Macaca fascicularis: one gene and its partners. The protein of the gene in region 1 interacts with the protein of each later gene in a pairwise test. Links are inferred from orthologs where the notes say so. Each region holds a gene or a part of one and is shown on either strand. Other genes may lie near its edges.

What was found. The genes of interacting proteins can lie anywhere in the genome.
Region 2: the proteins of TAF9 (region 1) and KPNA1 interact in binary tests that used the Homo sapiens proteins (3 or more experiments, as listed by UniProt). The link is inferred for Macaca fascicularis from reciprocal best matches to the Homo sapiens genes TAF9 and KPNA1.
Region 3: the proteins of TAF9 (region 1) and COIL interact in a two-hybrid assay, tested with the Homo sapiens proteins (2 studies listed by BioGRID and IntAct). The link is inferred for Macaca fascicularis from reciprocal best matches to the Homo sapiens genes TAF9 and COIL.

Annotation. Positions count from the first base shown.
Region 1 is NC_088380.1:75,038,163-75,041,604, forward strand, and holds the end of TAF9 (transcription initiation factor TFIID subunit 9), read right to left. Parts: intron 2,715-3,442; coding exon of another isoform or gene 2,622-2,714; intron 1,580-2,621; 5' UTR 1,563-1,579; coding exon 768-1,562; 3' UTR 558-767; downstream 1-557. Other genes in the region: AK6 (adenylate kinase isoenzyme 6), read right to left, coding at 2,622-2,714. UniProt on the Homo sapiens protein: The TFIID basal transcription factor complex plays a major role in the initiation of RNA polymerase II (Pol II)-dependent transcription.
Region 2 is NC_088376.1:160,795,287-160,798,939, reverse strand, and holds part of KPNA1 (importin subunit alpha-5), read right to left. Parts: intron 3,396-3,653; coding exon 3,264-3,395; intron 1,731-3,263; coding exon 1,642-1,730; intron 1,320-1,641; coding exon 1,220-1,319; intron 1-1,219. UniProt on the Homo sapiens protein: Functions in nuclear protein import as an adapter protein for nuclear receptor KPNB1. Binds specifically and directly to substrates containing either a simple or bipartite NLS motif.
Region 3 is NC_088390.1:49,770,275-49,773,927, reverse strand, and holds part of COIL (coilin), read right to left. Parts: intron 3,102-3,653; coding exon of another isoform or gene 2,829-3,101; intron 1,678-2,828; coding exon 573-1,677; intron 452-572; coding exon 365-451; intron 119-364; coding exon 71-118; intron 1-70. Other genes in the region: small ribosomal subunit protein uS8-like, read left to right, coding at 2,829-3,101. UniProt on the Homo sapiens protein: Component of nuclear coiled bodies, also known as Cajal bodies or CBs, which are involved in the modification and assembly of nucleoplasmic snRNPs.

The DNA of each region.
Region 1 (3,442 bases):
ATAAATTGATGTTCTTTTGGACAAAAAAATTTTAAAAATTAAAAAAATATAAACTATAACCTAATCATCAGCCCTGGATCAAAAATGAACATGATACTGGCTTATAGTATCAGGAATATGAAAAACAAAGATGCTCAAAATTAACCTGCAAAAAGAGACACTGATAAATTTTTTTTTTAAAAGTGGAGACATACTGGGAGACACTAAGGGTCCTTAATATAACCAAAGGGACAGAAAAATGGGACCTAGGAAGTTGGACAATTGAGGAAGATAATCAAAGCAGGTTAAGAATTCACTATGAATAAAAATCCTGACCAACTAGTCTCTCCAAAGAGGAGTCACGGTTATACTTCAGCAACTGAGAGAACAGATCACAAGAGTGACGTACACCAGAGATCATACTGTGATCTATATATCTGAAGACACTTGAGGTGACATTCTAGTGGTCAACAATAGACTACAGTACTGCAAGTTGCTGCAACTGTCAACTGTTACTCCCCTTGGTGACAACAGGGAGAAAATTGCTTTTAAAAACATAACTGCCAAAGCACCAACAATCAAAGTAATGAATGACAACTTTATTTCTCTTACACTTTTAAGGCTGATGAAAAACCTTCATTTCAATTGAAAAGTATGGTAACTGTATTTACTCATTAATTATTATTAAAGTTTTCTAAAACACAACTTGAAAACATCCAGCATGCATGTTTAATATCAGTACAATGAATTCAAGACCAAGTATACATGTTACATGCAGCAAAGCTAGATTACAAATTATCATAGTCATCGTCATCATCATCGTCATCATCATCATCTTCACGTTTTCTTTTCAATGCATTTGATGATTCATTGGCAGCATTTTGTGATGACACCATATTAGTGGTAATAAGAATGTTTTTGGACCCAATTAATGATGGATTAATCAGAACATTCTGAACTGCTGAGGTTGCAGGAATTGAAGCTTTTACAGCTGGAGACTGCGAAGTAGGCATCTGTACTGTAAACCTTTGACCTGTGAGGGACATGGGAGTCCCTACTTTAGTTGAAACAGACATGGTCTGTGGGGTTGGTGTGCCTAGTGTGGGAGTACTTGGTCTGCTAGTAACTGAACCAACACTTAACCGCGGGACTGTTATTCTTCCCGCAGAAGTTGATGCCTTTTTCTGTAAAGATTTCAGCCTATAGTTTGGAGCTGTTAAGCAGTATCTATCAGGTGGCAACCTAGGACCTGAATATGGCTTGATCAGTGGCAAAGGGGTTTGATTTCTTTGCCTTGCGATATCTAATAAAAAATCTCTTGGGGGAGGAGAGGTAAAAGACTGGTCAGCGCGGCACTGGATTGCCAATCGCACATCATCTGCATCAACGGTAGCTTTCTTAGCATGGCTTGAATAAATTTTTGCATCATCTAGAATTGTGGTCACATATCGGAAGGCAAACTCCAACATCTGATTTATAACTCTTGGCTCATATTCTGTAATCCCCATATCCTTCAGGATTTGTGCCATCATCTGTGCATCTTTCGGCATGCTCTTGGGAGAAGCCATCTTGCCAGACTCCATGATATCCGATGATCAGACTTTAGATCATTTGAAAAAAATATGTACATTAGATCAATCTGAAATAGTTACTTTAGTAGCAACTGTCAGGAACTTAAAAATTTTTTTAATCTATGTTAAACTGTAAAAAAATTTTTTAAATTTAAACCATATGTTTTCTTAATTTTAATGAGGCATACTTAAAATCTCTTTAATTTATTGAGTTCCTACCATGTACAAATCATTGTCAACTATAAAAAGATGAAGACACAAATAAGGGAGTGATAAAAGATTAGGGGAAAACAGGGTAAAATAAATAAAAACATCTATCATCTTAGAATATATGCAGTTGCATGCAAACCTCACACTAAGATACCACAGCATAGTCATGTCCTACACCTGAGCTCAAAACAATCTCTTTCCAGTGAGACCAATACACTCACTGTGCTCATATATATGTTCAGCAGTACCAAACCTTTGTTTGCTCAACTTGAAAACATTCTCCTTATTCACATTCTACCTCTCCGAAATCCAGTCTCTTCATAGGAGCCTTCCCAACTATTCACAAGAATTGCTAGCCATTTTCAAGGAGGAAGGGAAAATGCTCAAAATAACCAGGACATAGCATTAGACACTTAATATTTCTGTGGATTCCCTAAAAGAGTATATATTCTTTTTTTTTTTTTTTTTTTTTTGAGACGGAGTCTCGCTCTGTCGCCCAGGCTGGAGTGCAGTGGCGCCATCTCGGCTCACTGCAAGCTCCGCCTCCCGGGTTTATGCCATTCTCCTGCCTCAGCCTCCCGAGTAGCTGGGACTACAGGCGCCCGCCACCTCGCCCGGCTAATTTTTTTGTATTTTTAGTAGAGACGGGGTTTCATTGTGTTAGCCAGGATGGTCTCGATCTCCTGACCTCGTGATCCGCCCGTCTCGGCCTCCCAAAGTGCTGGGATTACAGGCAAGAGTATATATTCTTTAATGGCAATCTGTTTTTTGTACCTTCTGACAATACCCAGCACTAACACTCCACTATCAGACTTAAAACAAAACAAAACAAAACAAATCTAACACCAAAGTGTCCCTTACCTTCTCGAGCTAAATCACCAACATTAATGTATTTCAGTCCCGATTTTGACGCAAGTTCTTTGCCTAGTGTAGTTTTTCCAACCCCTGGTGTACCTGTAAGACAAGCCACAGAAAAATACTGTTTGTGAAATACTACTTATCACACTGCAGCCCACCTTGTGCCCTTCCTTTTTTTATTTCTGAGGCAGAGTCTCACCTGGCCTCTGCCCTTAAAGATCTTGATGACTGAAATGAAAAATTTCCTAATTAGCAATAACATGTAAAAAAAATTTTTTTTTTGAGACGGAATTTCGCTCTTGTCACCCAGGCTGGAGTGCAGTGGTGCGATCTTGGCTCACTGCAATCTCCACCTCCCAGGATCAAGCGAGTCTCCTGCCTCAGTCTCCTGAGTAGCTGGAATTACAGGTGCCCACCACCATGCCCAGCTAATTTTTGTATTTTTAGTAGAGACAGGGTTTCACCATATTGGCCAGGCTGGTCTCAAACTCCTAACCTCATGTCATCTGCCCGCCTAGGCCTCCTAAAGTGCTGGGATTACAGGCGTGAGCCACCATGCCTGGCCATATGTAAATCAGCATGTACTTCGATCTAATAAAAATTTTCCAAAGCTAATTGAATGTCAGAATATTACCCAGTGTATTGATTCTCCAGGGGTGGGGCTCAGCAAATTCTGACGCCAATTCAAACTGCCTGCTGCTACCATGGAACTACTCAGAATAAAATTAGCCACCTCGTGCTGGGCGCAGTGGCTCATGCCTGTAATCACTGCACTTTGGGAGGCCGAGGCGGGAAGATCATGAGGTCAGGAGATCGAGACCATC
Region 2 (3,653 bases), on another chromosome or scaffold:
GTCTCTACTAAAAATACAAAAATTAGCTGGACGTGGTGGTGGTGCGCCTGTAATCCCAGCTATTCGGGAAGCTGAGGCAGGAGAATCACTTGAACCCAGGAGGTGGAGGTTGCAGTGTGCCAAGACCATACGAGTGCACTATAAGCCTGGGCAATAAGAGCAAAACTGTCTCAAAAAACCAAAAAACAAACAAACAAGAAAAATAGACGTTGGCATGAATGTGGTGAAAAGGGAACACTTTTACACTGTTGCTGGAAGTGTAAACCAGTAAAACCACTATGGAAAACAGTGTGGAGATTCCTTAAAGAACTAAAAGTATATCTACCATTTGATGCCCAATCCTATTCCTGGGTATCTACCCATTATACGAAAAAGATACTTGTACACACAGGTTTAGAGCAGCACAATTCACAATTGCAAATGCACAGAACCAGCCCAAATGCCCATCAATCAACAAGTAGATAAAGAAAATGTGATATATATACCATAGACTACTACTCAGCCATAAAAAGGAACGAAACAATGGCATTTGCAGCAACCTGGATGGAACTGGAGACCATTATTCTAAGTAAAGTAACTCAGGACTGGAAAACCAAACATCAGATGTTCTCATTCATTAAGTGGGAGCTAAGCTATGAGGACACAAAAGCGTAAGAATGATACAATGGACTTTGGGGACTCAGGGAGAAAGGACTGGAGGTGGGTGAGAAATGAAAGACTACACACTGGATACAGTATATACTGCCTGGGTGATGGGTGCACCAAAATATCAGAAATCACCACTCAACAAGTAACTCATGTACCTAAACACCACCTGTTCCCCAAAAACCTGTTGAAAAAAAAAAAAGAATCTCATGGACTCCCAGAGAACTCACAGATCACATTTTGAGAACCATTGTTTTAAGAGAACTGAAAGGATAGTCTCTTAATACAGTATACTAATTGTATGCAGCCTAATTTCAATAAGCTTTACAAATTCTTCCTTCATGCTATGCTTTATTTGCAGTCCCTTCGTAAATGTGCACCTTCAAGTTATGCTTTAAATTTGCTTTTTAAATAATAAAGAAAACCAACAAAAACAACACTGTTTGTCTGAAAACAGATAAAATTCTAACATTTTAAATTTTAACAAAAATTATCTTTCTGTTCACCTTACTATTGGTTGCTATATTCTTTTAATTGTATTTTTCTGCCAATGTCCCAAAAGCATAGTCCTTACCTTTGCAAATTCTGGAGGTGGACTTTTCCCTCTACAGAGATTAGACAAAGCCCATACTGCATTCCGGGTCATGGTCAGGCGGTTTTGCTTTGAAAATAACCTACAAGCACGATGGTACAATGGTAAACTATATAACAGACAGTGATTATCTGATGACATAAATACTAAATAATACTTTTGATAAAGAGATGTCTTCAGACAGCTTTTCTCCAAAACATTAAAACTTCATTAATTCTGATGCAAGTAATTCAGAATTTTGGCACGGAAAAAGATAGGGTGCTGGAGGAAATGATCTATACAAGAAAATATCTGGAATAAAAAATAACACTAGAAAATCCAAAATGATTTCCAAAGATGTAATGCTTTCTGAGGAATCTCTTACATTTTTATTCTCAAAAAGGAAGAAGGAAGAAGAAACTTACTGCAAAAGAGGGGGAAGGATATTGCAGTCTAAGACATAGTCCCTGCACATGGTACTATCTCCAGCAATGTTGCCAAGAGCCCAGACTGCCTGTGAAAGAATCATTCATTAATAAAGGCTACATAGTTTAATTCCCTCATAATTCTTTCAGATGCCAGTATACCACAATAACACGTTCATTGGCGAGTCAAATGAAATAGTTGTAGGATTGGGGGGGGAAGATAAGTAGTATCCAAGAGTATACAATAAACAGAGGTTTTCAGTTTATTAAAGGAAAGAACTAATTCTTTTTTGTTTGTTTTTGTTTTTTGAGGCAGAGTCTCACTCTGTCACCCCGTCTGGAGTGCAACACAGTGAAACCCCATCTCTACTAAAAATACAAAATTAGTCAGGTGTGGTGGTAGGCGCCTGTAATCCCAGCTACTCGAGAGGCTGAGGCATGAGAATTGCTTGAACCTGAGAGACAGAGTTGCAGTGAGCCAAGATTGAGCCAATGCACTCCAGCCTGGGTGACAGAGATTGTAAGACAGAAAGACAGACAGACAGAAAGACAGACAGAAAGAAAGAAAGAGAGAGAGAGAAAGAGAGAAAGAAAGAAAAGCAAAGTAAAGCAAGAAAGCAAGAAAAAGAGAATTTTCTTGCTTACATAAGAAAACAGTGAACAAAAAGAAGTTTGTTTTCTGTACCCTTCTGCACAAAAGTAGCAAAGACTAGCCACTTTCTTTTTTTTGAGATAGGTCTCGCTCTGTTACCGAGGCTGGAGTATGGTGGTGTGATCTCGGCTCACTGCAGCCTCCACCTCCTGGAGCTCAAGTGAACCCTCCCACCTCAGCCTATCAAACAGCTAGGACAACAGGCGTGTGCCACCATGGCCACCTACTTTATTTTCTGTAGAGATGGGGTTTCACCATGGTGCCCTGGCTGGTCTCGAGCTCCTGGGCTCAAGCAATCTGCCCACCTCAGCCTCCCAAGTGCTGGAATTACAGGCATGAGCCACAGCAACTGGTCTACTTTCAACACTTGAAATTTCTACAAGAAAAAACCTCTATCAGTAACTGCTTACATGGTCTAAAAAAGTACATATACATGGCTTAAAGAATGTCAGGTTTGGAAGGGGAAGATTATTTTGTGTCTAAGAGAAATTCCGCCTACAGTCACTAAGACATTTTCTATTTGATTAAGACTAAATTTCTAGAACACTCCTTTGTGACAATCCATAGATTACCAAAGCCAACTGGCAAAACTCAGCCCCTTATTATGACTGAAGGGAAATACTGTTTCTTTTTTTTTTTTTTTTTTTTTTTTTTGAGACGGAGTCTTGCTCTCGTTGCCCAAACTGCAGTGCAATGACGCGATCTCGGCTCACTGCAACCTCCGCCTCTTGGGTTCAAGTAATTCTCCTGCCTCAGCCTCCCAAGTAGCTGGGATTACAGACACACACCACCACGCCCAGCTAATTTTTGTATTTTTAGTAGAGACAGGATTTCACCATGTTGACTAGGCTGGTCTCGAACTCCTTGTGATCCACCCACCTCGGCCTCCCAAAATGTTGGGATTACAGGCATGAGCGACGTGCCCAGCCGAAAAATTTCTTTCAGCTGCTTCCTTTTGTTTCATTTTTACCTGTTCCTGGACATCTTCAAACTCTGAGCTGAGCAACTCTATGAAGATAGGCACAGCTCCTGCCTGAATCACAATCCGGGTCTGAAGAGAATTTCCTGAAGCAATATTTGTCAGTACCCAAGCTGATTCAAACTATAAAGATAAAAATAATTTTCATTATCATTTTAGAATGTAAAAGCTTATTTACTTATAACAGTAACATTTTCTGTACATGAAAAAAAGATTCTGAGATCATTATTTGCACGTAGCCTATCAGTTGAGTACTTTATTAATTTTAAAAGAACATCCAGAAGAGACACCTCAACCTAGAAGAATATTCAGGGTGTCTAAAATTTCAGTTCAAGAAAGAGTAAACATGACGCCATAAAAAGAATGAGGGAGTGTTACATA
Region 3 (3,653 bases), on another chromosome or scaffold:
TACAAGTAGTATGAAATATGACTTGTTTTATTAATATACTGACAACTTACTTTTAAATAAACATCCTTACCTTGTAGTCAGAGACATCAGGAGAGTAACTGGATGTTAGTTCCAAAAGCTAAAAAAGAAGAAAAAAACCCACAAATACATAAGCCCTCTTATCCTCTCACATTCCCACAGCTCCTCCATCATGCCATGCTGGGGTGTCCCCCCCACCAGTCTGGGAGCCCTACCAGGAACCCATGACAACACTGCGGTTCCAGTGGGAAGGGCTTTTACAAACACTTTAAACCTGATTTGTTAAGTAAGTTTATTTGGAAGGGGAATGAACCTTTTTTGCTGTGACCGTTGTTTTGAAATATACCTTAAATGCAATCTTTTCTCCAACCTGAGGGGCAGCTGCTAACAGTGGTAACAGACTATAGTCCTTCTTCTGTGTCTCTACTGGATTCTGAAAAACAGTGTTAGTCATGTGACATCATTACTGGTGAGAAAATGTGAACCCATGACATGAACTCCACACACATTCTAAGGGGAAAAGGAGGAGGTAACTTACAAAAAATAATACTTACCTGGATAATAGTAGATGAATTTGTTACCACGTCATTTAATTGCTGTTGCCTCTGGTTGTCAGTGCTTCTATTTACAACACAGGAAACAGGATGCCCTCGTCCTCGACCTCTCCCCCGCATGCCCCGTCCCCTGGCTCCCTTCCAAGAAAAAAGGTTCTCTCCTCTACCCCATCCTCTTCCTAAACTAGCGGGGAGAGACACACTGGGAGAAGGACCAGGAGCCTGTCCGCCACCGTTTGAGCCAGAACGCCTCCATCCAGCAGCACCTGCACTCTGTGATGATGGCCCCGGGCCTGGACAACCTCTTCCTGCAAAAAGGCCTACTGTCTTTAAGAAACCCGCAGCACACTCCGGGGTGCTCGATGACATCAAGCATTGGTCATCTGACTCTGAACTAGAGTCTGAACTAGAAGATGTTGTTCCAGAGGTCTTGCCCTTGCTGGGGGTAAGGCTAAAGCCAGGTTTTGTAGCCAGTTTGTCTGCAGTTGTATTTTTGGTAGAGGGTTCTTCCTTTGATAACTCAGTTGGTAATTTCTCCGAGGAATTTCTGGCTTCCAAAGTGACTTTGCTGGGCTCATCACTGATAGATTCATCACAAGACTCCTCTGAGGAGGAACTAGGACTCTCTTTTGAGCAAACGCTTACACTACCTTTCCTTTTGGCTTTAACAAGGCTGTTTCTAGCAGAACCTTTTGGAGAACTACATCTCTGATTGGCCCAGTCTTTTACTGCCTGTACTTTAGGAGACTTGGGATTCTTGGTCTTTTTTTTATATTCACATTTCTCCTTTTTCTTTGGTGATTTTCTTTTGGTCTCTTCATTATCATCACCCACTGTGACACAGGTTGCTTTATTTTTTCTCTTGTTTTTTTTGCTGACAGTCTGATCTGTGACAGCTTTTGGTTCCAGATCCAAGACCTTCTCATTATTGTTATTGTTCTCTTGCCTCTTCCAGTGCTTCTTTGAATATTTGTAATCTGGTTCAGTTTCTTCATCCTCCTCTAACTGAAATGCCCGCTTCTTTGCTTTTCTAAGAGATAAATTACTGTCACCATTACTGATGACTACAGAATTCTCAGCAACTCCTCTCTCTTCTAATTTAACTCTGTCAACAGAACAAGAGAGAAAACTAGAGTGAGCAATTTGTAAACACATCTCCAGGACATAGTTATATACTGAGATGACTCTACAAAATGTAATTACCATCAGTCAATGAAAAAATGTCATATCAATTAAAGACAAAAGACTCTTTCTGGCAAAATGGCCCATACAGCATTACTCACAGTCAACTTTCAAATGACTAGTTTTATTGAATAGCTACTGCATCCCAAACATTTTTTATACGTTTTTCTCTAATCTAAACATCAACACGAAGTAGGTATTTTTAATTTTACAGATCGCAAAATTACAGCTCAGACAAGTTACTTGCCCCAAATCTAGAGCTGATAAGTAGCAGAAAGGCAATTCAAACTTCAGTTTGTCTAACTTCAAACTCACAATCTTTCTAAGATATGCATGTCACCTACCCTAAAAGGTGATAATGCTGATTATCCATTTTGTTTCAGAATGTGGGCTGCTTTCTTTAACAATATTTTACTCTTGTTTTAATTTAGGTGAATACTAAACAATTTATGTTCTCTGGGGTATTGACAGCCATCTGTACAATTCCATGACACTCCGTGAAGCTTAATTTTATGTATCAATTTGTCTGGGCTATTGGGTGTCCAGATATCTGGTTAAAACGACACTGGCTCTTTCCACACCACCACAGTGGTGCACATGAATGTCCTGGCTGATGCTCTTAAGAGCATCAACAAAACTGAAAAGCAAGGTAAATGCCAGGTTCTTATTAGCCCGAGCTCCAAAGTAATTGTCCAGTTTCTTTTTTTTATTTTAGTTTTTTTAATTTTTTTTTTTTTTTTTTTTTTTTTTTTTTTTTTTGAGACAGAGGCCCAACTCTGTCACCCAGGGCAAAGTGCACTGGTGCATTTCTCAGTTCACTACAACCTCTCCCTCCCAGGTTCAAGAGATTCTCATGCCTCAGCCTCCCAAATAGCTGGGATTACAGGTGCTCACCACTATGTCTTGCTAATTTTTGTATTTTTAGTACAGATGGAGTTTTGCCATGTTGGCCGGGCTGATCTTGAACTCCTGGCCTCAAGTGCCCAAGTGATCCACCTGCCTTGGCCTCCCAAAGTGCTGAGATTACAGGCATGAGCCATCGCGCCTAGCCCCATCATCCAGTTTCCAACTATAATGATGAAGCATGGTTACACTGGCAAGTCTGAAATCACTGGTGATCACAGAGCTGGGAAAATTGTTGTGAACCTCATAGGCAGGCTAAACAAGTATGGAGTAATCAGCCCCAGATTTGATGTGCAACTCAAAGATCTAGAAAAATGGCAGAATAATCTGCTCCCATCCCACCAGTTTGGTTTCACTGTACTGACAACCTTGGCTGGCATCACATACCATGAAGAAGCAAGACAAAAACACACAGGAGGAAAAATCCTGAGATTCTTTTTATAAGGATGTAATACATATTTACAAATATATTGCCTCAGTGGGAAAAAAAAAATTATGCTGGGAGTATGTGCAAGGTTGTTTCTGGATGAGATTAACATTTAAATTGCTAGACTGAGTAAAGTACATTGCTGTCTCCAATGTGGGTGGGGCTCATCCAACCTGCTGAAGGCCTGAATAGAACAAAAAGACGGAGTAAGGGAGAATTCGCTTCTCTGCCTGACTCTTCAAGCTGGGACATCGGTCTTCTCCTGCCTTCAAACTCGAACTTGAACTAGAAATATACCACTGGCTCTCCTTGATCTATAGCTTACCAACTAAACTTAGGACTTCTCAGCCTCCACAATCCTATAAGCCAATTCCTTACAATAAATCCCATGTCTGTGAGTGAGTGAGTATTTGTGTGTGTGTGTGTGTGTGTGTTTCTTACTGGTTACGTTTCTCTGAATAACCCTACTTCATCCAAAATGCCACTATAGGAAAGCAACTTCATTCCTCTATCAACTGACAACAGTTAATCCTAGAATGTGCAGTCTGATAATGATGGAAGTCTTGAGA